Linked DNA regions of Alligator mississippiensis. The main gene of each other region encodes a partner of the protein of the gene in region 2 in a complex. Links are inferred from orthologs where the notes say so. Each region holds a gene or a part of one and is shown on either strand. Other genes may lie near its edges.

Evidence for each region.
Region 1: TADA3 (region 2) and TAF6L share a complex: the UniProt entries of both Homo sapiens proteins name them as parts of the STAGA transcription coactivator-HAT complex. The link is inferred for Alligator mississippiensis from reciprocal best matches to the Homo sapiens genes TADA3 and TAF6L.
Region 3: TADA3 (region 2) and TADA2B share a complex: the UniProt entries of both Homo sapiens proteins name them as parts of the TFTC-HAT complex. The link is inferred for Alligator mississippiensis from reciprocal best matches to the Homo sapiens genes TADA3 and TADA2B.

What each region holds. Positions count from the first base shown.
Region 1 is NC_081838.1:3,250,818-3,260,450, reverse strand, and holds the start of TAF6L (TAF6-like RNA polymerase II p300/CBP-associated factor-associated factor 65 kDa subunit 6L), read right to left. Parts: upstream 5,693-9,633; 5' UTR 5,550-5,692; coding exon 5,397-5,549; intron 4,806-5,396; coding exon 4,719-4,805; intron 4,595-4,718; coding exon 4,444-4,594; intron 4,168-4,443; coding exon 4,117-4,167; intron 2,370-4,116; coding exon 2,275-2,369; intron 1,875-2,274; coding exon 1,800-1,874; intron 1,259-1,799; coding exon 1,038-1,258; intron 439-1,037; coding exon 306-438; intron 217-305; coding exon 88-216; intron 1-87. Other genes in the region: TUT1 (speckle targeted PIP5K1A-regulated poly(A) polymerase), read right to left, coding at 6,191-7,398, 7,482-7,574, 9,042-9,164, 9,296-9,405, 9,543-9,633. UniProt on the Homo sapiens protein: Functions as a component of the PCAF complex. The PCAF complex is capable of efficiently acetylating histones in a nucleosomal context. The PCAF complex could be considered as the human version of the yeast SAGA complex.
Region 2 is NC_081835.1:471,072-480,704, forward strand, and holds TADA3 (transcriptional adapter 3), read right to left. Parts: upstream 5,747-9,633; 5' UTR 5,387-5,746; coding exon 5,180-5,386; intron 5,092-5,179; coding exon 4,844-5,091; intron 4,739-4,843; coding exon 4,633-4,738; intron 3,896-4,632; coding exon 3,754-3,895; intron 3,461-3,753; coding exon 3,357-3,460; intron 3,279-3,356; coding exon 3,169-3,278; intron 3,077-3,168; coding exon 2,891-3,076; intron 2,807-2,890; coding exon 2,614-2,806; 3' UTR 2,260-2,613; downstream 1-2,259. Other genes in the region: ARPC4 (actin-related protein 2/3 complex subunit 4), read left to right, coding at 5,934-5,936, 6,030-6,148, 6,261-6,372, 6,473-6,568, 6,656-6,826, 7,368-7,373; tubulin monoglycylase TTLL3, read left to right, coding at 8,613-9,404, 9,489-9,603. UniProt on the Homo sapiens protein: Functions as a component of the PCAF complex. The PCAF complex is capable of efficiently acetylating histones in a nucleosomal context. The PCAF complex could be considered as the human version of the yeast SAGA complex.
Region 3 is NC_081825.1:25,915,362-25,924,994, forward strand, and holds the start of TADA2B (transcriptional adapter 2-beta), read right to left. Parts: upstream 4,590-9,633; 5' UTR 4,572-4,589; coding exon 4,302-4,571; intron 717-4,301; coding exon 1-716. Other genes in the region: CCDC96 (coiled-coil domain-containing protein 96), read left to right, coding at 4,833-5,402, 6,114-6,659. UniProt on the Homo sapiens protein: Coactivates PAX5-dependent transcription together with either SMARCA4 or GCN5L2.

The DNA.
Region 1 (9,633 bases), on a different chromosome or scaffold from region 2:
GCCCAGCCTGCCCTGCCTTGCCCTCCCCCCCCCCGGACCTCTTCCCTGAGCCTCCTCCCAGCTGGGGTGCGGGGAGAAGTGACTCACCAGGATGGCACCATAGACCTTGTGCCCGTCAGCCTTCACCTGGGCGTTGGAGACTGAGTAGTCATCCAGCACGGCTTGGAGGTTGGCCCAGTAGGTGGAGAGATGGGGGTACAGCACCCGCTCCACCGCCTGCGGAAGTGGACACCGGGAGAAGCTGGGTACACCCCGCAGGGACCCAGTGGCAGGGGGTGACCTCAGGGTCCCCCCCAGCCCCTCACCTTCCAGCCCAGTGCGTGCAGCCCCACGACAGCTCCGTAGTGGGAGCAGAGCGGGCGCACAGGGTCAGCCAGCACCTTCTGCAGCGACAGCAGGATCTGGTGGTAGAGCCCACTCACCAGGTCGCCGTGTGTCCTAGCAGGGCAGAGAAGAAGCTGAAACTCCCTCCTGCCCCCCCACCCTTTCTCCCCAGGGGAAGGGGCTGTGTTGAGCCCGGATGGGAGACAGAGAAGACACATGGGCTGGATATAACAGGCTCCGGCTGGCTCTGGAGGGCACCACAGGCGGGGTAGAACAGGCTGCAGCCAGCTCTAGGATGGGCACTGGTGACTGGGTATAATAGGCAGCTGGCTCTGGGGGGCACCAGAGGCAGGGGCTGAGTAGAATGAGCTGCAGCCAGCTCTGGGTTGGGCACCAGTGGCTGGGGATAACAAGCTGCAGCTGGCTCTGGGGGGGCACCAGGGGCAGGGGCTGGGTAGAATAGGTTGGAGCCTGCTCTGGGATGGGCACCGGTGACTGAATATAACGTTACAGCTGGCTCTGGAGGGGTGCGGACTATAACACACAGCTGGCTCTAGGGAGCCGAGAGCTAGGTATAGCAGGCTGTGGCCAGCCCTGGGGGGTGCTGGATATAACATGCAGCTGGCTCTGGGGGCACCAGGGGCCAGGTACAGCAGACTGTAGGCAGCTCTGGGGGATCCCCATGCCCCGCCCCCCCCCCGGCGTGGCCTCACCAGAAGATGTGGCTGAGCAGCATGGCAGCATAGTCGCGCAGGGTCCAGTGGTCGTTGAGGGGGTTGATGGAGGCAGCCAGCGGCTCCAGGACGCAGTAGGTGACGCTGGCAATGAGGCTGCGCGCGTAGGAGCCCAGGCACACGTACGGGTTCTGGATCAGGCTCCGCGCGATGTGCAGCAGCCGGCTCAGCTGCTCCAGGTCATGGCTGACCGACTTCACCTGCAGTGGAGCCAGGGGTCAGCCCCAGGCCCCGGTCTCTGACCCGTGACCTACCTGCCAGCCCTGGACGTGGCTCCACTGTCTCCCAAACCTGCCCCCGCCCTCAGCACTTCACCTGCAGGGATGGAGTGGGGTCAGGGGTCACCACCACAGCCCTGACCCCTGATCCCCGTGGTCACCCCAAACATTCCTGCTCCCCCCAGGCACAGCTCCACCATCCCACAAGCCTGCTGCCACCCCCAGACTTCATGTGCAAGAACAAAGCAGGGTCGGGGGTCGCTGTCAGCCCAGGCCCCAACCTCCAGCCTTTGTGCCACCCCTGGATATGCGCTGCCCCCCAGCCCTGCAAACCCGCCCCCACCCCCAGGACTTCCCCTGCAAGATCAGAGCAGGCTCAGGGGTTACCATCAGCCCCAAGCCCTGACCTCTGACATGACCTGCCCAACCTTCCTGCCACACCTGGACATGGCCCCCCCCCCCCGAATTTCTCCATAGGAACGGAGCAGGGTAACCCCCTCTCCCTGCCCGCAGCTCCACTCACCCCGCTGACCACGTAGACGAAGTAGGGCAACAGCGCCGCGATCTTGGAGTTGGTCTGGAGGTCCTGGAGGGCGACCTGCAGGTGCAGGGGGCGGGAAGGGCTTGGACCACAGGCAGGTGCCCCCGGCAGGTCTCCAGCCTGACCCCAGGCCCAGAAATCACTCCCCCGCTGCAGTGGAGACCAGGAGGCCTTTACAGCAGGGCAAACTCCTGCCCTGGCAACGCTGGGGGAAATGCCTGGGCAAGCTCTGGGCTCTCCGTCCTTGGGGGAGAGGGAGCCCTGCTGCTCTGTGTGCCTGGCCCTGGGGCTTTGCTGGCTAGGAAGGAAGCTCCCCCCCCGGGAGAGCAGACACTGGGCTGTCAGGGCTCTGTTGGGGGTGACCTGGAGGCTCCTGGCGCCCTGCTCCGAGTCACCACCAGGCTGACTTGGGGGTCAGAGGGGTCTGCCCCATGCCACTCCCCCTGCTCCCACCCACCTTCATCAGCTGGGGGTCGTCACCCAGCACGGCCCGCGTCACGTGCTGGTAGTAGTTCAGCAGGTCGTCCGTGAGTGTGGAGACAGCGCTGGGCACTGCGGGGGGAGATGCATTAGCGGGAAGCTGCCGGAAAGCCCCCCATGTGGCCGCCCGAAGGAGGCAGGGACATGGGGCCGTGGGAGCAGCTCCTCTTGGGGGACCCAAAGCTGGAAGGAGCCAGGGATGGGGGAGTTGCAAGGGGAAGGGGAATCAATTGGGTGGGCAGATCACAGCCAACACAGGCAGCCAGGGGCAAGGGGGGAAGGCCGGCTGGGAAAGGCAGTGGGTGGTGGGTTATAAGACCCTAAGTCCTGCCACGACTGGGTCCACCTGGCCCAGTCTCCAGAGAGCAGAGGTGGGGAGGGACAGACATCGGGTCTTGGCAGGATTTTCCTGTTCCTCTCCCAAGTGCAGCCCCCAGCATTGAGGATCCAGGTAGTTCTGCTACAGACTCCGAGCCCCTCGCACCCGTGCTCCAGAGCCACTGATGCCTCTTTCCTCCAAGGACGTGTCCAGTCCCTTGGGGAACGGGGCTGAACTCCCAGCTCCCCCTGACGTCTGATGACAACGAGCCTCGCGCTCAAATTCCAGGCAGGGGGACAAGAACTGCCTGGGCTTGGTTTTAAACTGCCAACCTGCTGATTTCACTGCGACCCCTTGTCCGTGCCTGGTGAGAGAGAGGCCACAAGAAATCCCCGAGGACTTCCTCTCCCACACTGAGTAGGTCGTAAACCCTCATCCTAGCCCCTGGCTCTGTGCTGACCAGGCCCGTCCTCCTTAGTGTCTCCTCCTAAAGAATCATAGTCAACGGGGGTTGAAGGGAGCTCAGGAGGTCACATCCAGTCCAACCCATGCTCCAAGCAGGACCAGCCCCAACTGCAACATCCCAGCCAAGGCTTCATCTACCCAGGTCTTCAAAACCTCCAAGGATGGAGACTGCGCCACCTCTCTGGGAAACCCGTTCCAGTGCTTCACCACCCTCCTAGTGAGAAAGTTTTTCCTAATATCCAACTTAAACCCCCTTGCTGCAGCCTGAGCCCATTACTCCTTGTCCTGTCGTCTGCCCCCGCTGAGACCAGCCCAGCTCCAGCCTCTTTGCAACCGCCCTGCAGGGAGCTGGAGGCTGCTATTCAATCCCCCTCGGTCTTCTCTTCTCCAGACTAAGCCCAATTCCCTCAGCTTCTCTCCACAACCATTTTCATTGCCCTCTGCTGGACTCTCTCCATGTCCACATCCTTTCTGTAGGGGGAGGGGGGACCACAGCTGGACACAGGACTCCAGATGTGGCCTCCCCCGTACAGAATAGAGGGGAAGAATCACTGCCCAGGATCTGCTGGCAGCGCTCCTACCAATGCAGCCCAGGATGCCAGCAGCCTTCTTGGCAACAAGGGCACACTGCTGGCTCATAGCCATCTTCTTGCCCACTGTCACCCCCAGGCCCTTTTCTGCAGAGCTGCTGCCCAGCCCGTCACCCCCAGCCTGTCCCGGTGCATGGGATTGCTCCGTCCTCAGTGCAGGCCTTTGCACTTGTCCTTGTTGAACTTCCTGAGATTTTTGTTGGTTTGATCCTCCAGTGTGTTGAGGCCTCTCTGAAAAGCCCCTCTCTGGAAACCCCTCCAGGCTGCTAATCCCTTGTTGCCCCTCTCTAGACTCTCTCCAGCTCCTCTCTCCCCACGTGGCGGTGCAGGGACCAGAACGGGGCACAGCACTGGAGGGGTGGGCGCGCCATGGATGTTATTCTTGCCAGGGAGCTCCTGGGGCTGGGGGGCACTGTGCAGGGGCGGGGGATGCTGAGGCTCTTACCGCTTCCCTGAGGCTCCAGGTTCCCTTTCCCATCCAGGTAGGAGACGTGCACTGCGAAGGTGAGCGGGGGGCGGGGGGGGGGGGGGGGGTCAGATATTCCTGCTGATCCCCCACAGCCCAGTCAGATGATCCTCAAAAGCCCCAGCCCAGGACTGGATGGGGAGGGGGTAGCCTGGGTGTTCCCCAGAGTCCCCCAGGGCTGGGAGCAGGGGGCAGAGACCCAGGATGAGCCCAGGGGCAGGGGAGACATCTCCAGCCCCAAGCAGCCACAGCCCAGGGACGTCCAGCTATTGCGGGGGGAGGGTCCCGCCGTGGGGGGCCACATACCTCTGACGGCCGCCTCGGCGCAGCCCTTGGGGATGTTGGTGGCCAGGGCCAGCTCCACCAGGTTGACCTCCCGGTCCTCCTGGAAGTACAGCTCCCCCTCCTTGACCGGCCGGAAGGGCAGCGCGTCCTGGGAGCCGTAGCCGCAGATCACCTAGGATGACCCCCCGCCACGGTCAGCCAGGGCAGGGGGAGGCGCGAGCCCCCTTCCCCCCAGGGGCACGAAGGCTGGGGGGGGGGGAGGGGGGCAGCCGATACAGCCCCCCCACGACACTCACCTCTACATTGCTCCAGCGCAGCGCCCGGTTGAAATCCTCTACCGTCAGCTTGCGCCGCTTGGTGTGCTTCATGAACTGGGAGCTGTTCTGGCAGTGGGGGGCAAGGGGGGCGTCACTGGGACATGGCCCCCCCATAAGGGTGGGGGGCAGTCAAATGGGTATGGGGGGACCGGGGCGTGGTGGGGTCGGGGGGCCTGGGGAGAGTGGCGGGTGGTTTCAGGGGCGCACGCAGGCACGGGGGGGGGGGGGGGGGGGGCAGGGTGCGCGGGACCGGGGTTATTGATGGGCACGAGGAGCGCGGGCGGGTGTGAAGTGGTATCGGGGGCACGGGGATCTGGGGAGCCCACAGGGGCACGGGTGGGGGCCACAGGAGAGCGGGGCCGTGGGGCACTGGTAGTCACCGGTGAGCATAAGGAAGCGGGGGTGGCATCGGGGGGCACTCGGGAGGTGGGGGGGATGGGGTGACTGGGGAAACACGGGGGTGTGGGGGGCACAGGGGTGCGGGTGCTGGGAGATGGGGGACGGGGGGTGCAGCAAGGGGCTGCTGTGGGGGTGGGGATGGGGGCAGAAAGAGCCTGGGGGGGGGCGATGGGGGTCACGGAGGAGCCGGGAGCAGCGCGGGGCGGGGTCGCAGGGAGGAAGCGGGGGGCGTGGCCGGGGGCGTGGCTTGCCCCCTACCTGGGCGGCCTCGCGCAGGCGGTAGCAGACGTCCTCGGCCAGCAGCGCGGCCACGTCGTCGGGCAGCTCCGGGCCCAGCCCCGCACTCTCGGCCATGAGCCGCACGGACTCGCGGGGCAGCTCCACGAAGCGGCGCTCGTCGCGCTCCGCCATGGCCGGGACGACGCGCGATAGCGCGCACACACGTGCGCGGCCGCGCGCCAAGGGGGACCGGCCCCGGCCCCGCCCCCCGGGGGCGCGCGCCAGCCAGCGGGGAACCCCCGGCCCTCTGCTGCCTGGGGATGACGTGGGCGGGCCGCTGTCACGTGACGCCGGGCTCTTAAAGGGCCCGCGCCACTCGAAACCCACGTGGTTCTGGAGCTCTTAAAGGGCCAGGACATGGTTTCTGCCACGCCCCGCCTCCCTTCTCACACCTCTGGGGGGCGGGGTGACCCTGGGACCAGGCCGTGGTGCCCTCAGAGCTTCCCGCCCCCGCGCTGAGCTCGACCAAGCGCCAGAGCCGGTCGTGGGGCGCCCAGGGCTCTGCCAACAGCAGCCGCGGAGACGGGCACCGTGCAGCGGTGCGCAGAAGAGGCTGCCGGGCCAAAGCATCAGCCTGAACCGGGCAAACACGTCTGCCATGTCCCCCCACCCCAAACCCAGAGGGGACAGAGAGGGAGATTTCCCCCCAGCTCACAGGAGACAGGACACGGGTTGGGACACAAGAGCGGGACCTTTATTCTCCCCCCAGCTGGAGGCGGCGCGCACACAGCAGGGCAGCGTCCCAGCGTCCTGAGCCCACGCAGCTGAGTCGCTCACTGGGGGTCTGCCTCAGCCCCAGGCTGGACTGGGCGGGGGGGGCCTGGCTCTAGGTCTAGCTCTGTCCTAGGCACTGGCCCTGGCTCCGGGCTGGCCTCCCCCACGCGGCTGAGGTAGCGCTGGAGCATGGTGGGCAGGAAGCTGTGCAGGAAGTGGTAGAAGTCCTGGAAGAGCGTGGCGTGCTGGGGGGCAGGCGTGAAGCGCAGGCTGGCCTGGGCGTCCAGGCGGGCGCAGGCTGTGAACTGCAGCAGCGGCTCCCCGCTTGCCTCCTGCCGGGCAATGGCCGCCGACACCTTCTCCTCCAGCTCCAGGGACCGTGCGGCCTCCTGCTCGGTGCCGGCCTCTGCCAGGGGACTGCTGTGCTGGGGCCGCAGCTGCCGCCGCACCCGGCGCCGGCCCACCCACACCCGGTGCCACAGGGCGCAGCTCCAGCTCACAGCCCCTGCTTCTTCCAGGGCCTCTGCTCGCGGCCTCTTCCGGGCAGGGGAGACGGAGACAGGGCTGGGGATCCCCTCCTCTTCGCTCAGGGGGCGCTTGAGCCCAGCAGCCGGTGGCGTTCCTGGGGCGCTGGGGGCATCCACAAGCTCCCTGGGGGCATCCACAGGCTCCCTGGGGGCTGCCGGCTGCTGGGCTGGGGAGGTTGGGGGCTCCCCCGTCTCCCCCTGCTGAAGGGATGCCCCGGGGGGCTCCAGGAGCTGCTCTGCATGTCCAAGGGGCTGACGCTGGAGCTCCGTGCAACTGCACTTTAAGACGTCTCTGAGCACAAAGGCAACGCCAGCGCACACGTGCCCAAACCAGCTCTGCCGGGAGCTGGGATCTAGGCCCAGCTCACGCCGACGGGCAGCCGGGGCCAAGGGCAAGGCGAGGAGCAGCCCGTCAGAGTCCAGCTCACCAGCCTCAGGCTGGAAGAGGCGCACCAGGCCCCAGGGCCGGCCCTTGGCAGACTTGCGCTGGTACTGCAGGCTGCGGCAGTACTTGGCGGCCCGGGTGCAGCAGACCCGCAGGCGCTGGGCCATGCGCTCCGTGACGTTGGTGGCCACGTTGTGGCTGCGCTCGAAGGGGTCCTGCAGGGTGACAGGGCCCAGGCGCAGCCCCGCACCCGCCACTGCCTCCAGGGGCAGCACCCGGCCCTCGCACAGGGAGATCACGTGACCTGAAAGCTCCTGTTCCCCGAACTCCCGGAAGAAGTCGGCCAGAAGGACGCCTGGGGGGAGCAGGAAAGAAGTGGGGTGAGGACAGGGATCCCTGCATGGCCCCTCTGCCCCCAGCCCCCCCAACGGCACTCACACAGGCTCTCTGTGTTGGTGTTGGGCTCCAGCCGTGCCGCGTCCCGGGGGAAACTGCAGTCCCACCCGTCCACGACCATCCGCTCCTCATCCCCTGGAAGGAAGGAGATGGTTAGCGATCCCCAGCCACGCCACGCAGACCACATGTCAAGGAGGTCTCACCCCCCAGTGCTGTGCTGGGGGTGTCCATACACTCCCTCCTCATGGAGGCTCCGGTCCCAGAAGCAGCTCCGTCCGAGTCACTGCCATCAGCAGGTGGGAGATGGCAGGCGCTGGGGGGGCAGCTCCCTGGAAGCCCTGATGCACTGGTCAGGGATCACTCCCGTGCTAATCGGGCAACCCCAGGAAAAAGCAAGGGTCCATTTCCCCGCTCCCTGAGCCTAGAGATCATCTCAGGGAAATGGGCTACGGGGCACAAGTTATGACTCAGTTTCCCTGTGCCAAGAGGTCATTAGCTCAGAGATATATAGGCCAAGTCACAGGTCATGACTCAGTTTCCCTGTTCCCTGAGCCAAGAGATTGCTGTCGTAGAGAAACGGGCGGGAATGCAGACATCTGAACCTGAATGGGATAAAACTCTTCCACAACAACTCGCCTCGACCACGAGGGCAGACTCTGAGAGCACCGAGTCTTCATCCGCTGGCGGTGAGGCTGCGTGGTCTCTGCTGGATGTAGCTGTTCTGGGTCACGTGGCCCGATTGTTGGTATCCCAGTAAACCAGCATACAATAACTGGCATGCAATAAACCAGAGCACAGCATCCCAATACACCGGTGCATCATTGGGAGGAACTTGCTTTGGTTTCTCTGGATCATATCAAAGCCCCCAGAACCAGCCTAGGGGTAACACCCAGAGGAGAGGCTGTGCCTTGGTGTCTGGGGGCTGCCAGATGCAAGCCGAGCTCCCCCAAAAGCCCTGGTCCTTTTGGGACTTGGATTTTCCACCCCAGGGTTTCTTTCTAGTTCAGGCTCCCAAGCCCAAGATCATGGAGGCCAAGGCTAAAGGGAGGCGGCTGTGGTGCATCCGGCTTTTGTTTTAACTCAAGGTCAGGGCCTGGCGGCCAGTCCCCTCCTGCCCTGGGGCCTTCCTGGAGCAGGTGGGAAGGGCACCAGGCAGGGCTGGGACTGTCCTGCTCCAAGATAAGGACAGGGCTGAATACAACTCCTGGGACCCTGCCAGGCCTGGCACCTCATGGGCTCCTGGCCAACGAAATGGAGCATGAAAGCTGCTGGATTCAGGGTACAGGGATGTCACATGCATGTACATGCACGCACCCTCCACCCCCGGCTCATGCTCTCGCACACAAGCACACACACACACACCCACACATGTGGCAGCTCCAGGCAGCCCGTGTAACTGCAGCTAGTTTTGGGCAGGGCACATGGCTCTCTCGTGGGCACCAGCCAGGCTTCACATGCCAAGCTCAAGGGGACGTTTTTCGCCACAGAGCTGCCCTTTGCTTCTCTTACTGGTGCCCGGCCTCCTGGTGCTCCTGGACCCAAGCAGCCCCTGCCTTCCCATGCACAGACATGCACAGCCCCAGGGCACAGAGCATGCCCTACCTGCCAGCTGCTGGAGACGGGCCACAGTGGGCAGGATGGGTGGGGAGCGCGTCTGCAGGAAGAAGATCACCAGCAGCGTCAGGGCATAGTTGGTGAAGAGTGGGCCGCCTCCATGAGGGTTACCTGAGAGGGCAGACACAACTGTGAGATGGGGGGCTGTGTCCTGCACCCCCAACTCTCCCCCAGACTGGCCCAGCCCAGAGCCCTGGACAAAGCCACAGCCCCCAGCGAGAGGGGGAAGGGGAGATCCTCACCCGCCAGGCCCTGCTGCTTGGCCCAGTAGCGCAGCACGTAGACCAGCGGTCGCACTCGCTCGTCAGCCTCAGTGCAGAGCTGCAGGAACTGCGTGTTGCACAGACCCAGCCTGGGGAGGGTGGGGGTTGGGAAATGTCAGGGGGGGCAGCCCCCACTCCCACCTTTGCCTCTACGGTGGCAGCTGCCTCAACAACCTGCCCCTCCCAGCGCAGCAGTCCCCAGGCCCCCACGGAGAGCCCGCGTTACCGGTTGTTGAGGGAGATGTCGCCGCACAGCCCCGAGTCCTTGTGGCTGAACTTGACAACAGGGCGCCTAGCACTGGGCACGGCCTGCACAC
Region 2 (9,633 bases):
CCCGGGCCCCAGGCACCGGTCCCCACCGCGCAGCAGAGATGTCCTGGGGCGAAGGCGCTGGCCCCAGGCAATGCCCTCCTGCCCTGGAGGGCCCTGCCACAGGCCCGCGCCCTTGGCGCCCTGCTTATCTGCTGCGACAGCACCAGCGGTGCAGGCGTGTGGCATCACGGCTATGGCAGGCATCTGCTGCGCGCGTGACAAGGGGCGCCGGGCGGGCACCGGCCTGGGCTGAGGGAGGCCTGCAAGGGAGGGGCTCATGCCAGGCCTGGGCGGGGGGCCGTGGCCACATGGCCGGCTGGCAGGAGGCGGCTGTGTGGATGTTTCCAGGAGCTCCTCCGGCTGGGGCGTGGGAGCGTGGGAAGGGCTTGTTTGGAAACACAGCCGTGCTGGCAGCGGGGCCGCCAGGCGGAGGCAGCTCGGCTGGGGGATGGAGCTGGAGCTGGGGGGATGCGCGGGGCACGAGCCGCGTGGGGGTGGAAGGATCGGAGCAGCAGCCGTCTGGACAGGCGACACCCGCCACGGGATTCGCACGGGGAGAGGGCGCTGCCAGCCTGTGAGGGCCAGCAGCCCGGCCGGGGCCGAGGCAGTTGTGCATCCGCGCACCACCCCGGCAGCCTGGGCCTTGCTGGGGAGGCCTCGCAGAGGCCGAGTCCCGCGGGCAGCTGCAGCAGCTGCTGGGGCTGTGCTGGGGACTCCGGCGCCGCCAGAGCCAGGACCCCTCCGCAGCGGGCAGCTGCAGCCAGGAGGGGCCGTGCGCAGGGAGCCCAGGCCGAGCAGGCGCGGGGGCTCTGGCCCAGGACCCCGCGCTCCTGCTCCGACGGCGACCCAGCACAGGGTTCCCGCCACATGCCCAGCTCCAGGGCCTGCACTTGGGGGCGGGCGGCCATGGGACCCAGCCCAGCACCCCGGTGCTGGGGCTGCTTGGGCCTGGCGGGCTCCCTCCATGCGCCGTGCCCAGGCCTGCCAGGCTCAGTGCAGGGGTGGGAACAGCCCGGGCGATCCCCGGTCTCTCATCCCCTCCGTGATTACACTAATCCCTCCCGAGCGCCTGAGACGGCCATGCTGGCGGCACGCGCCTGCTCGGCCTAATGCCACACGCCGCCAGCCCAGCACCCCTGCCCGGGGGACGCAGAGCACAGCCCAGCCCCGCCATGGCCTGGCTCCTCCTGACATGGGCGCAGGCCCCAACCTTTGGACCTGCCTCGGCGGCAGGCATCCACGGAGCTCCCGCTCCAGGCCCAGGCCAGCCCTGCGGGCATGGGGGCCGAGGCGACGCAGCCGCGCCGGGGCAACGGGACCCGACACCCCAGCAAGGGCCGGGGCGACAGGCTCGGGGGCTGCAGCGTCCCGGCGCAGGGCGGCGCGGGCCACGTGGCGGGAGCGGCCCCAGCCCCGGCGCTGCGGCGGGGCCCGGCCCGGCGGCGCGGCGCGACTCACGTGCCCAGGATCTCCCGGAACTCGTAGATGTCGCGGATGTCCTGGGTCCTCTTCTTCCAGCTGGGGCCGTCCTCTCCCAGCGGCATCGTCCCTCCCGGGCCGCCTGCCTGCGCGTCCCAGGGCCGGCGCGGCCGAGCTCGGGGCCTGCGCGGGCGGCAGGCGGGGGTGTCAGCCAGGGTGGGCCCGGGGCCCGCGCTGCCAGGCCAGGACCTCCAGCCCCCTGCGCGGCACGGGCAGCGCGGCTCGGGCCACGGGCAGCCCGTCGGCTCCCGGCCCGCGTCCACTCCGCAAACTTTGCGGCCTCGGAAGAATCCCGGGCAGTTGCCATGACAACGGCAGCTGCTGCGGGGCCGCGGGGCAGCGCGCGGGGCGGGGCGGGGCGGGGCCTGTCCTGTCCTGTCCCAGCCCGGCCCGGCCCGGCCCGGCAGCGCGCGGGACCGACCCCCGCCCCGCCCCGCCCCGCCCCGAGCCCGCACCCCGCCCCGGGCACGGACCCACGCGGCCAGCGCCCCCCGCGCCGCCGCTTACCGGGCCGGGCCGCGCTGGAGCGGAGCGGGGCCGGGCGGGGCCGGGGGGGCGGGCGGTGCTCGGCGCTGCACGGTCCCGCGCCCGGCGCAGCGGCTCCCCCGGCGCCAGGGCCAGCCACCGGTGACGTCAGGGGGCGGGGCTGGCGCGGCGCGGCCAATCGGGGGGCGGCGGCGGGGGTGCCTGGAGACGGGGCCAAGCTAAAATTAGCGCGGGGGGGGCGGGGCCCACTCACTGCCCCCCCCCCGCCCCCTCCCTCACCGCACCGCACCGCACCGCACCGCACACAGCGCAGGCTTCGCGCACGGGCTTTATTGAGGGCAGGCGCGGGCCGCACACAACGCGACCCCCGGGCGCGGGGCCGCCCCCACATCGGCCGCCCCGCGGGCCAGCTGGGCTGGGGCAGCCAGGGGCAGGGGAGTCACAGCAAGAGGCGCCCGGGGAGAGGGAGGGCAAGGGCGGCGCAGCGCCCGCCTGGCCGTGGCAGACAAGCAGCCGGGGTGCGGGCCCGGCCGCCCCGCTCCATGGCAGCAAGCAAGGCCCCTCCACCCCCCCGCAGCCCCGACCCCAGGGAGCGCGGCCCCCCCCCGGCACACGGCCCCGCGCTCAGCCAGTCTCCAGCGGGGCGGCGCGGGCAAGTCCAGAGCCCCGCTAGCCGTCCAGTAGCTTGAGGATGCTCTCCCGCTCCTTCAGGGTCTTCCAGGCCTGGTCCTTCTCCTTCTTGGTGGGCGTGCGCTTCTTCTGCCGCGCGGCCATGATCTTGCGGAAGGCGTCCATGACCTCGTTGTCCGCCATGCGCACGCGCTGCCGCAGCTCCTGCCGGTGCAGCTCCTCCTTGGCCAGCCTGCCAGGGCAGAGCCGTCAGCCCCACCAGACCAGGCCCAGGCCCAGGCCCGGCCCCGGCCCCCAGGCCGCCTGCGGTACCCACCGGAGCAGGTCGTGCTTCTTGGCGCGGTTGTGAGCGCTGAGCGCCTTGAGCTCCGCCTGCCGCTTGCGCAGCTCCGCCAGCACCTCGTCCTCAGCGTCCTCGGCCGGGCGGTCCTCCGAGTCCAGCAGCCCCTGTGCGATCAGCTCCTCCTTGATGCGCCCCTCCAGCGACTTGGTGTGCGGCACGCTGCCAGGGACGAGGGCGGGCTGCTGTCACCCCACGGGCCCTTTCAAGGCGGGCCGCAGGGAAGAGGGCAGCGGGGCCCCACGGCTGCTCACCTGAAGGGCTTGTTCTGGCTGCGGGGCGAGGTGCCAGCGCCATCAGCCCCCGAGTCCTTGCCCACGATCTCGGGGATCGGGGAGTCCTCCACGGGGGAGATGATGTTCTCCTAACAACAGAGCGTGGAGACAGGGGTCAGCGCTGGGCAGCGGGGGCCAAGTACGGCCCAGCCCGGAGCCCCACTCACCTCCACCAGCGCTTGTAGGAGGCGCTGCGTCAGGGGGCCGAAGGGGCAGCCATCCTCGGGCTGCTCGTGCTGGGCCTCCGACTTCTTCAGCAGTGCGTCCACATCTGCAGGGAGACGGGGAGGGGGCTATGAGCAGCGTTGGGGAGATGGGCCCCCGAGCCAGCTGAGCAGCGAGGGAACCCCCCTCCCACCTGTGGCTCTTGGTCCCAGGCCTCACCCCACCTGCCCCCCCGTAGAGCGTGCCCAGGCAGGCTGCAGAGCAAGGTGCCCGCGTGCTGGGCAGGGCCCCGGAGCCCAAAGGTCATCTGTGCTCCCCAGGCCTGGCTGAACCAGACCGTGCCCCGCACCAGGTGCCCCTGTGCCCAGCTGCCGGGATGCAGGGCTGAGCCAGAGGCACCTTTCGTGTCCAGCTCGGTCAGTGGCCCCAGGACGCCTTTCTTCTTGTCCGCAGCTGCAGCCACGCGGGCGCCGTCTTTCTGCTCCTCCAGCAGGTCCTCCTGGGCCCAGCGCTGCGAGTAGTGCTTCCCCAGGGGCGGGATCTGCAACAGAAGCCTTGTGAGCAGCACGCGGCTGGGGAGCCCCGAGCCGCCGTCCCCTCCTGGGGAACACGGCCACAGGGGAGTGCCCCAGCCCCACGGCCCAGCGCCCAGGCTCCTGCAGCGCTGCAGGCCCTGCCTCCAGGAAGTCACAGGGCGCCAGGCTCACAGCACATCGGCAGGCTCAGGGAGGGGCCACTTGAGCGTCCCTGCTTCTCTGCGTCAAGTCTGAGAACGCCCATCGCACCCGGAGCTTTGCACCGTGCCTGGCCCTGGGCTGCCGACACAAGGGGCTGCTCCGGTGCCCTGGCCTTGCCCCATGCGCCCGACCACGCCAGGAGCCTGCGCCGAGCCCCTGCAGGATCACCTCCAACTCCTGCCCCGCGCTCCCTTGTGCTCTGCTGCTGCCAACCAGCCAGAGGCTGATGGCCGAGCCGGGAGCCCTGCGGGGTGGCAGAGACCGCTTGTCTGGCCCTGCCTGGCAGCGACACGTGGGCGTCCTTTGGCGCCCGAGATGCTGCTCGGTGCCTGGTGCGAGGGCAGAGAACGCCCCCTCCTGGCTGGCGCCGCATTGGGCTTTCAGGCCCCCGACAGGGTCCCTGGGGCCGACAGCGGTGGGGGGGACGGGATCGGCTCAGCATCGCCTGGCTGCGGTCCCCGTCCAGGCCGGGCCCGGGGGCAGCGTGCAGGGCGCGAGCTCGGCGGCAGCGCCGGGCGCAGCTGGGCCCGCGGGCGCTCACCTTGTAGTGCTCGGCCTCGTCCTCGGGCGGCTTGAGCAGCTCCTCCAGCACGCGCAGCTCCTCGGTGGTGAGGTCGGCGCAGTACGGCTCCACCGAGTTCCAGAACCTGCGGGGGGAGGGGCAGAGCCGTGCTGCGAGGGGGCCGGGCAGGGCAGGGCAGGGCAGGGCAGGGCGGAGCGGGGCAGGCGGGCGGGCGGGGCCGGGCACGCACCTGTTGGGCGCGTCGTTCTTGGGGATGCGCGGCACGTCCACGGGGTCGTCGGGGAACTCGTACTCCTGGATCTTGGGCTGCAGGTTCTTGGACTTGGGCCGCCCGGGGCCCGGCCCCGGCCCGTGGCCCCCCTTGCCCTCGAGCTTCTGCTTCTTGGGCTTGCCGTGCTTGACCGGGGCGCCCAGGTCGTGCTCCTTCAGCTTCAGGAACCGCCGGTCCCCCTTCTTGTCCTGCCAGTCCGTCAGGATCTGCGGGCGGCGCGGCGCGGCTCAGCCCCGGCCCGGCCCGGCCCGGCCCCCCTGCCCCGCCCCGCCCCGCCCCGCCCCGCCCCCGCACCTGGGTCTCGGCCTCCAGCACGCGCAGGCGGCGGCTGGCGGACGACAGCAGCGTCTCGAGCTCCAGCTGCAGCGTGTCCAGCTCCTCGATGCCGATGCCGTCGTCCTCGGAGCGCGCCAGCACGGCCGTGTAGCGCGGGCACACCTTGCCGTGGTCCACCGACTTGAAGTCGTGGAACTGCAGCGGGCAGTCCTTCAACTCGCTCATCGCGCCGGGCGCCGCGCACCGGGCGCTCCGCACGTGGCCGCCGCCGGCACCGGGCGCGGGGGGCGGGGGCGCTCCGCCGGGGTCGCGCCGCGGCCGCGCTCAGCCCCTTCCGGCCGCCGTAGCCAGAGTCAGCGCCCGCCCCGCGCGCTCCTCATTGGCTGGGCCGCACCCCGCGGAGATCCCCATTGGCCGCGCCGCCCGCTCGCTCTCCGTTCCCTAATATGGAGGCCGCGGCGGGGCCGTACCAAGTGCGGCGCGGGGGGAGGGGGGGGCGCGGATCCCGCTGGCGGGGGCGCGCGCTCAGGGCGCTCGGGGCCGCGGCGGCGAGAGGACCCCGGCCTCGGAGGTGAAGTCGCGGCCCCGGCGCGGCCGCTGCTCCCGCGTGAGGGGGTGGCTCCGGCTGCGGCTCCTGCAGCGCTCCGCCCCCCCCCCCCCGCCCCCGGGGCGCAATGGGCGGTGCCGCCCGTCCCGGAACAGAGGAGCCGCCCGCGCCGCTAGTTCCGCTTCCGCTTCCCGGGACCCCACCGGAGCCGCCGTCAGCGCCGCCATGGTAGGACCGGGCCGGGCCGGGCGGGGAAGCGGGGCGGGGGCGGGGGCCGGGGCCGGGGGCCGGGGCGCGCTGACCCGTGCCCGCTGCCCGCAGACCGCCACGCTGCGCCCCTACCTGAGCGCGGTGCGCGCCACGCTGCAGGCCGCGCTCTGCCTGGAGAACTTCTCGTCGCAGGTGGTGGAGCGGCACAACAAGCCCGAGGTGGAAGTCAGGTACGGGGCCGGGGCCCGGGCCCGGGGGGCGGCGCGCCGGGGGCCGCTGGCGTTGCGGGGCGGGGGCGGGGGCGGGGGCCGGGGCCGGGGCTGACGTGTGGGCGGCTGCCAGGAGCAGCAAAGAGCTGCTGCTGCAGCCCGTGATCATCAGCCGGAACGAGAAGGAGAAGGTGCTGATCGAGGGGTCCATCAACTCGGTGCGGGTCAGCATCGCCGTGAAGCAGGTGAGCCGGGGCCGGGGCCCGGGGGGGCGGCGCGGGGCGGGGCGGGGGGGCCGAGCCTGACTTCCTCCGCCCCCCTGCTCCCCCCCTCGCCTGCCCGCAGGCTGACGAGATCGAGAAGATCCTCTGCCACAAGTTCATGCGGTTCATGATGATGAGAGCCGAGAACTTCTTCATCCTGCGCAGGAAGGCCGTGGAGGTGAGGGGCGCCGGGCCGGGCCGGGCCGCTTCCCGCTGGGCCCCGGGCACAGCAGGGCTGAGCGCTCGCCCCTTCCTCTTCCCCCAGGGCTACGACATCAGCTTCCTGATCACGAACTTCCACACGGAGCAGATGTACAAGCACAAGCTGGTGGACTTCGTGATACACTTCATGGAGGAGATCGACAAGGAGATCAGCGAGATGAAGCTGTCCGTCAATGCCAGGGCTCGCATTGTGGCGGAGGAGTTCCTCAAAAACGTGAGGCTCGCAGGCGGGGCGGTGGGCGCCCGTGGTGCGGGGCAGCGGCACGGTTCTGTTAGAGGGCTCGGTGGAGGGGAGCAGAGCGGCCTGCTTAGGCTGTCTGACCCCCCTGTTAGAAGAAGCCCCTGCCCGCTGGCCCCTGCGTGGGGGGCTGAGGCTCCCCGTGCAGGGAGCGGTGGGGGGTGCAGCAGCCCCTGCAGGGCCGAGAGACCTGGGGCAGGCCGCCCACCCGCTGCAGGGAGGCTGGTGACATCCGCGGCAGCCTGTTGGGAGCGAAAGCAGAAGCTGTGGGTTGGAGCGTCTCGGGCAGGCAGCGGGGGGAGAAGGGATGTCTCTAGCCTGCTGCGCTGTGGGAGGGGCCTCAGTGCCGGCTTCCCACGCTGATTGTTTCCATCCCGCCCTCGTGCGCTCGGGCTGAGGCGGCTCGGCTGTGCAGACGCAGGGGGGCTGGCAGGGCGCCAACCTGGCCCTGTGCGGTGTGTGGCCGGAAATCAGACCTGCAGCCATTAACGGCCTGTCTCTTCTCGCCCCTGCCCAGTTTTAGACCATGGTGCTGGACTCCACGGCTTCACGTTCTCATTCTCTCCTGCGTCTCTGCACAGCCGCCCTGCCAGGCTGGGGGGCCGCAGCCTGGGCCTTGCTCTCGGGAAGAGAGATGAGAAGCAGCCAGATCTTATGGAGCTGTCCAGTGGAATGTACATTGCATTCTCCATCGTCCCCAGGGAAGGGAGGGAGGAGTTAATATTTGAAGCAAACCGTGCTTGTTTGAGACTGTGTCGACTCCATGTTCTTTTTTAAATGACTAATCATTTGCTGTAACGTCTCCGATTCTCCTAGCGGTGGGGGCGCGGGGTTGGAGGGGAGCTTTGGCTGCTATGGCGCTGGACAGCACGTGCGATGCGTGTCTCCTGCCCCGAGGCTGGCAGCTGCTGGCCGCCCTGCCAGCGTCCAGCAGGGCCTCTCTGCAAAGGGGGGTGCCCGCTAGCTGCCAAATGTGGCTCCTTGCCCCTAGTGCTCGGGCCGCAGCTAGGCCGCGCCTGGTGCCATCTGCAGGGGTTTGGCCCAGCAGCAGAGGGGCCTGCTTTGCTTTTAGGGCAGGACTGCAGCTCTCTCGGGCTGGGGCTGGGCCCTCCACCTCCCTGCTCCTGGGCAGTGCCTGCTCCAGTCTGCCTGTTCCCTGCGGGGGCGGAGTGGGGAAGGCTGCAGCTTGTCCCCCCTGCTGGAGCCGGGGGTCCAGGCACAGCGGCTGTGGCAGCTGCTGTGCCTGGGCACCCCGGTCGGCAGGCACGCATGCAGCCCCCTCTCCTTCAACCCGCCCCCAGGAACAGGGCATTCCCGGCGCAGCACGTCCTCTCGCCGCTGGCCTTCACCTCTGCTCCCTCTGCCTGTGGTGGAGGGAGCCGGGGCTCTGCCCAGAGCAGGGCCTCCCCTGACGGAGCTGGAATCTGTAACTCTTGGTTCTTTTGCTTTTGCACTTGCTGTAACTTTTCTTACTCTGAAACCTTCCCTATTAAAGCCTTTTTTCATGCCTCCAGGGGCTGCATGCTTCCTCGCCGGCGGTCTGGGGGTGGTGCTGCGCCGAGAGCCGGGCCTGAGTCACGGCTGTAGCCGGCCCCTGGTTTCCCCTGCGGGTGGGAGGGCTATAAATAGCTGCGCTCCCTTCCCCGCGGCCGCCGGCGGCCCTGCCTGCCCCGTGCGGGGGCGCGGCGCGGCGCGGCGCGGCGCGGCGCGGCGCGGCGCGGCGCGGCGGGAGGGATCGTTGCGGCCGCTGCTGCCGGTTTCCATGGAGACGCCAAACAGGCCGTGGCGGGCGGGGCGGCCCGAGGCTCGGCCGAGTCCCCGCGCTGCCGGCGCCGCACCGCACCGCCCGCCCGCCCGCAGCGGCCGGCCGAGGAGCGAGGCGGCGGCCCATGGAGGCGCGGGGGCGCGGGGCGGGCGCGGGCGCGGAGCGGGGCCGGCAGCGCCCCGCGCTCAAGCCCGAGCGCCTGAAGCAGGCCCGGCTGCACGTGGAGCGCGCCGCCAAGGTGAGGGGCGCGGGGGGGAGCGGGCCGCCGCCGCCCCTGCCCGGCTCCAGCGCGGCGCTGTCCCCGCAGCAGAAGAAGATCTTCGTGGTGCAGGGGCCCTACCCGGTGATCCGCAGCCTGCTGCGCGCCCGCGGCTGGGTGGAGAAGCGCCTGCCCCGGCCCGGCCGCGCCGCACGCCGGCGGGAGCGCGAGGCCGAGGCGGACGACAGCGCCGCGGCCCCGGAGGGCGAGCGGGCGGCCCGCGCCCTCGCCGCCGGCGCTCGCTCTTCCCCTCCCCCGGCCGAGGAGGAGGGCGAGGGCGAGGGCGAGGAGGGGCAGGACGAGGACCCCGAGGGCACCTACAGCCTCCTGGTGAGTGCGGGCCCGGGCTGGGCGGGCTCCCGGCCTGGCACGGGGCAGGCCCTCACCCGCTGCCCCCGCAGTCGCGGCTGGCTCGCAACCAGGTGCCCTACTTCATCTGGACCAACCGGCGCGACGTCGTGGACTGCCGCGCTCTGCGCAAGGAGCAGGTCATGAACCACTACGCCCGGGCCGGCTCCTTCACCACCAAGGTGCGGGGCGCGGAGGCTGCGGGCGCACGGGGCGGGGGGCAGCCCCCGGTGCTGCCTCGCCAGGCCCGGCTGCCATCCCCACAGGTGGGGCTGTGCCTCAACCTCCGGAACCTGCCCTGGTTCGACCAGGCCGACGCCGACACCTTCTTCCCCCGCTGCTACCGGCTGGGCGCCGAGGACGACAAGCAGGCCTTCATTGGTGAGAGCCACTCCCAGGGCCAGATGCCAC
Region 3 (9,633 bases), on a different chromosome or scaffold from region 2:
CTCTTGGAACTGGCAATGTTTTTATTCTCCTTCCTTTTCTCCCGTTTGTGTCTAGCTGCCTCATACTCTGCTGACTCCTCCATTTTGGTGATCCCATTTCGACGGTAGCGCTGCAGCTCTCTAATCTTTGCTCGAAGTATCCTCTCCTTGTGCATGTTCTCAAAGAAGTCTTCAAACTCCTTACAGGACATGAACTGATACAGGGGCCTCAGTTTTAGCCTCAACTCCTTTTCTTCTTTTGTGATCTTGCGTTTTGGAGCCTTTTCCTTGTCCTTTTTATCCTTCCCCAGAAAGGCAGGAACCAAGTTATAATCTCGTGCAATATTTTTTCGCCGTTGTCTCTCCTTAAGTTTTCTTACGTACATATCCACATGAGCTCTTTTTAATTCTATTTCCACATCATCATCATCATAGTTCACTGAAAGGCCACTGATCAGAGTCTCAGCATCTTGGTCGTACTCAATCTCATAGTCATCCCGAAGTGGCATGTACCCCAGCTGCTGCTGCTCTGCCACTGATATGTCCAAAGGTGGGAGAGGGGTGGTCAAGCTAGGAGAAAGTGGGCCACCGCTGGGGCAGGTGTGATCTGTAACTCTGTTGGGGATGGTGTCAGGGATGCAGGCTTTTCCAAGGTTACCATGGATATACATGCTTACATAGTGTTCCATCACTTCCTGGGGAGTTCGGGATGCTCCAACATGAGCAGCCATATCCTCCTAGAAAAAGAACAAAGTCAGAGATTACTGATGGACTGATCATTTCTGAGTTATGCCCAGTGTCACGGATGAGACCTGCATTATCCACACAAACATCCAGCTTTAGATGGCAAAACTACCCAAACTCATATTTTTTTTAAGTTTTCTCCTACACAAGTAAGCAACAATTTTCATAACCATATGCAGACAGAGAATTCACTTATCATCCAAAGAGCTGTTGTGTCAACATTTGGAGACTAAAGTCAAGAATTAAAATATAAACAAGAATTCTACTCCAAATGTAGTACTCCCTGCAGACTCAGAACCAATAACCCCAAATGTAATTTTGGTTTTGCTCAACTGGTTATAAATACATTTTTATAAAAGACACAGGTGAAGGGAGAGGGGAAATCAGTACTTAAAATTCTCTCACAAGAATATTTTTATTTAAGTAAATAACTACACTCAAAAGTAAGTATTTAAAGGGTTCTGGCTCTGTTAGGTAGTAACAATTTAATTCAAGCATCATCAATATGAAAGAGAGAGAGCCATTTTTCTATGTTGCACCTAAACGAGAAAAGAATTTGTTATTAGAGGGTAACAGGATGTTGAGAGGGCAAGAAATGATCTGATAATAATAGCACACTGGAGAAAAACTCAGAATGTGGTAGAGACACAAAATAAGGAAGAAAGAACGGAGGACATTAGATGTGCAGCACCCCTCGGGTTTTTTGGGAGAGGATACATTTTTAAACTCAAATATCTAAAAAAAAAAAAAATCCTGTTGTCAAAGCTCCTTGAAAAACTTAAAATCATCCCTCACTACAACTCCCCTTGCACTTGTATAACATGAATACACTAAGTCCTCACGTAGTTTCTATCTTACCTAGTTCAGTTTTCTCCTCTTCTATACATTAGAAGACAAGGCTAGACAAAACATATCCAGACTGTGAGAAACTTGAACCCTGATCAGATTTTACTGCTGTTGTAACTGTTGCTTAAAGAAATCACAAAACTATTGGCTGACAAAAGCCTTCCAAGAACAAACAAATGAACAACGATAAAACTTCCATTACTAGGTATCTAAATTAAATGGAACAGCTTTGGATGCCACAGTGCTGTGCTTGTATCTTAAATAAATCAGCTAACACTGCATGGCATGTAGCTAGATCAGACTGTGTATAAAAGGATGTTGCTCTGGCACTGCACAGTCTTCCAGAAATGTCCCTCGCTCCCGCAACCCTGATCAACAATGAAACAGTTAACATCAACTTTGCAAGTGCCAACATCTTGAGTTAACATTTCCTGCACAGGAGCTGCTACTTTGTTTTTTAAAGACTCAGAAAGACAACAGGACATCCCATTCACTTAGTTTTCCTTCATCTGACATCATGTTCAGAAATACACAAAACCCTGTAGCAACCTTGTTTGCTGAGCTCCAAATAACTATTCTTAAACACTGGCATTTTAAGAACTGACTTGAACATAAAACTGCACAACAAAAAAGTCATCCACAGGTTGTATTATGTTAAATACGGTCTAAGCAGGGACTACAGATTCTTATCCCATTACCTGGATTATCTTTAAATCCTACGGCTTTGCTGTTCCTGCCATCTCCTTCACCTCTCTCAGTACTGCCCACTCTCCCTTCTTCTCCTCTGTCTTTAAATCGCATGTAAAGCAGGAGGACCATGGTGGCTAATGCCCTGCTGTTGCAAAGGTTGTTAATACAGGCTCAAGAGATCAAAGAAGACTGCCACAATCCCTGCTACAGAAGAAGGCAAACCTTCCAGTCCATACCAATCTGAACTTCAGGTAAAATTTTTTCCTGACCCCAAATGTGGTGATCAGCCTGACGCTGAGTGGAGAGGCAAGACCCTCTAACTGGGAACATCTGGGTTTAAGTCTCAGCAAGAGCACTGGTACAACCTCAATCACAATCTGCAACCTTGGCTTCAGCATAGCTTGCTATGTCCCTTCGCAGTGTCCAACAGAGACAGCTGTTGCTCGTGAAAACTTATGCAACCCTGATTTGGTTACCCTAGGCACACCTACCCTGCTTCTGCCCGACTTCAGGATAACATACCTGATTACCACTCACCTGAACGAGCTAGAAACCAAGTGCTCCCCCACCTCTACCTCAGCATAAAGATCTTAGGCTCTGCCAAAGCTCAGTCTCCTGAGCCAAGGTGGACACATAGTACTTCACTTGGACATCACACCAACATCTGCTGCCCACCACAGCCAGAAAGCAGCTGCACACATGAGCTGCACAGTGACATGAGCCTAGCAGCTGTCAAGAAAACAGATGCAAGCGAAGCAGAAGCATGGACAGCACGGGCAGGCCGGAGGCATCAGAAAGAAGCATCCGACTTTTGGAAGCTGGGGCAAAGTCAGTACCTGACGACAAAGGCTCTGGTGCTGGAAATGACCAAGCTTCCTGTAAGCCCTTGGGGTGCAAGATGCTGCGGTGGGGCAGGGCAGGAAGGAGGCAGCAGCATGGGACAACAGGGTCTGCAGCACCATGGTGTCAAGGACTGGGGATTTTACCAAGAGGTTAAACAATAGATTGGTAGATGGTTTGGGTAGAATCAATCACAATCATGGAGTCGTAGGGGTGGAAGGGACCTCCAGAGCTCATCTAGTGCAACCCTCTGCCTGAGGCACAATCATCCCTATCCAAACTATCCCGTACAATCTGTAATCTAAGCCAGGGGTCAGCAACGTTTTTGGGCAGCGTGCCACAAACCCTTTCTGAACTCGTAAGATGCTGGCGTGCCGGGAGCAGACGGCAGGAGAGCTGCGAGGGGTCTGATCCTTCTTACAGCAGCGCAATCCCAGCCCCTCCTCCGCTGTCTGTCCCAAGACGCACACACACTGCTGCTGGCACCGAGCTGGACCACAGCTCTGCAGACCCCAGTGCAGCTGCTTGCGGCCTCCCCATCCCCTGCCGCGAGCAGCCTGGGATCCGCAGTGGATGGCCCAGAGCCCAGCCCGGCTGTGGCAGGCATCTGGGAGACCAAAAGCAGCCGTCTGTGGAGCCCCAAGCCGGGTGGTGCGCGTGCACCTTGAGCTGGACAGTGGGAAAGGGGCTGGGGCTGCCACCAGAAGGATCCGGCCCTCGCAGCTCCCCCACAGCCAACCCCAAGGACTGAGCAAAATGTCTTCGTGTGCCGCACTGGGCACGCACCGGGGTGGGCGACCCCTACTTCAAGTTCTGTGTGATGCGGCCGCTAGCCTGGGCGCGCGTGCCACAAACCTGACACGCGGCGCAGGCACCTACCTTAGAGGCCTTCAAAAGAAGGCTGGGCGCGCGCCTGGCTGGGGTTACGCGAGCCCAGCCGCCCAAGCAGGGGGACCAGACCTGATCCCACCCTACGCGTGTGTGGACCGGTGACAACGGGCCCAGGTCAAGCAGGGGAACCACCGCCCGCTCCCGTGGCCCCGCGTGGAGGGAGACATCCCCCTCAGGGAAAGGGGGCGCCCTGCCGAGCCCGGGGGCGATGCCCTCCTGACCCCCGAGGAAGGGGCCGGCTCGGGCTGGGCGGCCGCTCCCGCTCCCCTCGCGGGCGACGCTGCGGGAGCGGCTGCCGGCCGCGTCCTTACCCAGTTGCCGAAGCCGAACTGCTCGATGGCGTCGAGCAACAGCTGCTCCTCCCGGCTGCTCCAGCCGCCCTCGGCCTCGGCGCCCCACAGCGTGAAGCGGCCGCCGTCCACCAGCTGGTAGCCGTGCCATCGGCGGTGCGGCCCGATCTCGGCGCCGGCCGAGAAGCAGTCCGGGCACAGCTCGATGTCGGCGCACTCGGTGCAGCGGAAGCGCAGGGAGCTCACCTCGGCCAGGCAGTACACGCAGTACTTCTTCCCCAGCTCCGCCATCTTCCCCCGCCCCGCCCCACATTGCGCACGCGCCGCCCCGCCCCCGCCAATGGCCGCGCGCCCCGGGGGTAGGGCCCCGCCGCGGCCGCCCAATGAGCGCCAGGGGGGCCTGCTCCGCCCCCTCCAATCCCGCCGGGGCGGCGGGGCAGGGCGACAGCGCGCGCCCCAATGAGGGCAGCGACGCCGAGCCGGTTTCCCTTCGTTACAACCAATCAGAGCCCTCGTGGGGGGGGGAGAACCGTTGCTCCGCCCGCCGTTACCATGGAGACGGGGGAAGCTGCCGCCGCGTCTCAGGGCGCCATGGAGCAGCCGGAGGAGGCTGACGAGGAGGAGGAGGAGGAGAAGGAGGAGGCCGAGGCCGAGGCGGAGGCCGAGAGCCCCGAAGCGGGCTCGGCGGCGGAGGCGCGGCGGCGGGCGGAGCTGGTAGAGCAGTACCGGGCGCTGCTAGTCGAGCGCGAGCGGCTGCGCCAGGCCACGGCGCGCCAGCAGTTCCGGCTGCGGGAACTGCTGCTGCAGCGCGGGAAGCGGCCGGACGAGCCGCCGCCGCCGCGGACCGAGCCCGACGCCGAGGAGCGCTACGCGCGCTGCCTGGCCGCCCTGCACGACCTGCAGGCCCTCCGCGCGCAGGAAGCCGCCCGGGCCCAGCGCCGCCGGGCCGCCCAGGAGACCGCCTGCGAGGAGGCGCGGGGCCGCGCGCGGGCGGCCGCCGCCGCCTACCGGGCCTGCGTGGCCGAGGCGGCGGCGACGGGCAGGCGGCGGCCGGGCGGGGAGCGGGCCGAGCTGGAGCGCCTGCAGGCCGCCGAGCAGCGCAAGGACGAGGAGATCAGCCAGGTGAGGCAGCACGGGGCTTCGCGTTACCGTATTGTTCTGTCACTAAAGTGCGGGAGTACACCAGGAAATACGGCAGCAAGCGCTCCTGGGCAGGAAGGAAAGTCAGGTTGCTATATCTTCCTGTCAGTAATTGGGATGCGTGAGTATGCAAAGAAATACAGCAGCGAGCGCCCCACCAGCTCCTGCGCAGGAAGGAGTGAAGGTCGCGTTACTATATTGTCCTGTCACTAGTTGTGATGCGCGAGTACACCAGGAAATACGGTATCAAGCGCTCCATGAGCTCCTAGGAAGGTCACATTGCCGTATTTTCCTGCCAGTAGTTAGGGTGATTGAGTATGCCAAGAAATACGGCAGCAAGCAGCCCACCAGCTTCTGAGCAGGAAGGAAGGAAGGCCACGTTACTGTATTGTCCTGTCACTAGTTCGGATGCATGACTACACCAGGAAATACGGTAGCGAGCACTCCATGAGCTCCTGGGCAGGAAGGAGGAAAGGTCACATTACCATATTGTCCTGTCGGTAGTTGGGGTGCGTGAGGATGCCAGGAAATACCGTAGCCAGCGCTCCAGCAGCTCCTAGAAAGGAAGGAAGGTCGCATTACCGTACTTTTCTGTCAGTAGTTAGGGTGCGTGAGGTACTTTTCTGTCAGAGTTGGGGTGCGTGAGGATGCCAGAAAATCCTCACACCTTTCTGCCCACTCCCACCGTTTCAGGTACGCCTGGAGAACATCAAGCTGAAGCACAAGATTGAGCAGCTAGAAGCAAGACTGAAGGCCCAGGAGGAGCTGGCTGAAGGGCTGCACCTCATTGACTTCGAGCAGTTGAAGATCGAGAACCAGACCTACAATGAGAAGGTGGATGAGCGCAACGAGGAGCTGCTGAAGCTCAGGAAGAAAGTCACCACCACAGTGCAGGTCTTGACACAGCTCAAAGAGAAACTGCAGTTCGTGGAAGCCGAGAACCAGGAGAAGAAGGTCGAGTTGCTGGAGATCGAGGCAGTGCTGGCACAGAAGAGAGACGTGCTGACCAAAACTAAGCAGGCCAGGGATCGTTTACGGGCAGACAATCAGAGGCTGCAGCAGAAGTGCGGCCTGCTGGGGAATGAGGTGCTGCTGCAGGACTTTGAGAACAAGGTGGATGCTGCTCAGGTGCTGAATCAGCAGCTGGAGAACCTGAAACAGCACCATGCTGGTCTCACCATTGCCTGCAAGGGATTCAAGAAAAAAATTAAGGAAGCCAAATCCTTTCTATCGCCGTGAAGATACCGGAGGGAGGCAAGATCTTTAGAGACACCAAAACCGGGGGTGGGGGAGACTACAAATAAAAGTACTGGGAAATACCAAATATATATTTTTTTTTGTACAGGCAAAAGAATAAACTAAATATTTTACTGGAAAATAATCTCCTTTCTAAAGCATGTTTACTACTATTTATTGTGCAGGAGACTGCCATGCAGTTCTGCCTATCAAATGGCCCTTGAAGAAACCAAGCACATTTAGCCATTTTTTAATTGAAATATTTCACACTTAACAACATATCTGACATTGTAACCCCTGGCAAAGACCGAATCAACCTAAAGGTCTTCTGGTTCTGCTATTAACACATCTTGTGGCCTCTGCAGTTTCAGTTTCATTTTTGGAAACTCAAGCATACTCACCTGGTCGTTAAGTACATTTTTTTAAAATACTGAATTTTTAAAGCTATTTCTAAAGCTATGAATGTGCATTACACACACTGTTTTTCTTTGCTGTTCCGATTAAGAAATTAAAGGTAAAGAATGATTTGATGCTTAAGGTCACTACAAAACACAACACTAAAAATACAATATTTCATAGTTGATCTTAAAATTTCAAACCCAGTAGTCATGGTGACTCAGCTAAGAAGTTAAATCAGTGGAGAATTTAATTCCAGAAGCTCTGATTCATTAATCATTAGATAATTTCAACTACATATTCAACATACGTGAAAGTCTTCTGAGAAATGATAGACCGGAGGTTGTAACATTCCAATTACAAAATAAAAAACAAAAATACCATCATTACTGTCCCGTTCTAAAAATGTGCACACAAACTTGTCTTGAAATGCATTGGCCAAACTAGTGGCAACGAGACTAGTACATGGTGCTAAGAAGCTTGGAACAGGGGCTTACCCTTGCTTGTTTCTCCAAATGATCTCTATGGTAGATCTTTTATGGGGTTTATTTTTTTGAACCACTTCACTTCAAATATTGGCATCACAACTAAAAATGGATGCAAGAGGGCACAATTCAGTCTGTAGCAAAGAAGCAGGTCAGTTCAGTACTGAGAACTTGAGCCTTATTATTATTAAGCCATCCCACACAGGGTTAGCATTGACAATATGGTCCAGTAAGTCTTGCCTTGCCTCCTCTTAGAATTTAATTTGACCAGATGCCCCGGAAGAGCAGTTAAAAGATCTGTCTTTTAAAGAACAGTTAAAAGATGCAGTAAAACACACTACAAGTCACACTTATTTGTACGTACTGAAGCTCGACTAACTGCTAAACCTGCAGTAGTATGGAGGCAGTTTGAAAAGTAGGGTGTTACTTAAAATACATTTTACTGCAGAGTTAATAACTTTGTACCCATCACTAGTCAGTATAAGAAGAAAATTATCTTAAATCAGAAGTGTCAAAAGCATCTAGCCCTGCAGGCTGGATCAGTGGTGCAGGGCTGGCTACCCCTGCAGACTGGATCAGGCCCACAGGACCTCTCCCTCACCATGCTAGTTCAGGACCTGGTATGAAGAGGCTGGGTACTTGGCTGCTACCATGGGAACAAGCCACAGTATCAGACTTCTTACTGCCATGCTGCTAGGGCTTGGCTCCAGGATCGCAACTCTTGCCTGGGCACTTTGCTGCTGCAGGAACAAGCTGCAGTCTTGGTCTCCTTTCTGCGGCACTGCTGGGGCTCTAGCACTGTTTCTCTCTCCTGGGTTCCTGGCAGCCAAGCCAATGACAGCTGTGCTGCTGGAGCCCTGCAGCTGCAGCCAAATGCCTGGGCAAGAGCCATGGCACCAGAGCCCCAGCATCAGCATGGGAAGAAGCCTGGTGTCATGGGTGCTCGGCTGCCGTGGGAACAAGCCACAGTGCCAGGCTTCTTCTCTCAGTGCTGGAGCCTCAGCAGCATAGCAGCTCATACCCAGGTACTTGGCTGCAGCCATGAGAAGGTCCTCCCTCACCCCCATCAAGGCTGTGAGCCATATGATCTGGCTCTGCAAGCCAGATGTGGCCCAAGTACTCTGTTTGACTACCCTGGCTTAAAAAAAAAAGAGTAGTCTTGTGCAAGTGAAGCACTTGTTTATTTTTGCATTTTGGTAAAAGGTGTAACAATACAAGTAAAAGATTCCTTGAACCAGAATTGCCCCATCTACTTTGTCTCATGTAACTTGTAGATCAACTTGTAGTTTTATCCCTATGCCCTCTTCCATACCACTTGTGAAGAGAAACCACATTTTGTGCGACTCTCCCAATTCTAAACAGAGTAGCAAAGTTACTCCTATTCACTGAACCAGTTTAACTTTGGTCCCAAAGCCTTGCCAGGATGGCTGGATTTTCTTTTCAGTAATCAAGCTGCATTTTTCTTTGAGACTAAAAAGAAATTTTAAAAAGATAAAGTTTCCCATAAGCTGTTTACTTTAATAGACTAAAGATCAAGGGCTAACATTCCTGTTGTTTTCACAACCATGGGAAATGACAAGTGATGGGGACAGCAGGAAAGAGCTTCCTTGGAAAACTCCTCTGTGCTGGCATTTGCTCTTTGCTCTTGAGTTTGTAGATAATTTGGGCATGCATGCGTGCACATGTACACACCCAAAAAACTCCCCCAAATGAGAAATATTTACACTACAGCCTCATGTACCTTTCTAAGTATTTCCTCTTTGTCAATACAGTGACAAAACCATTGCAACTTTGTGGCCTTCTAAAACCCTCCTAAGAGATTAACTGTAAATTATGAGGTGATGCCAGGGGATCTATAAATATAAAACCCTTATCCCTCTTCTGTGAGGAAAAATATAACATGGCACAAGTCAAAAGAGATAAAAATCCTCTTTATTCACAAGCTCTGTGTTAACATGTGGTAGCTGAGAAAAAGGAAAGCTTCCCTTCCTCCACCAGTACTTTCCAGCAAACTGAGATTATATCAACCAGAGGTAAGGAAGAATAAAGCCAGTTAAAGGAAAAAAAAAAAAACCTTTGTAGTGTTTGCAAATGTA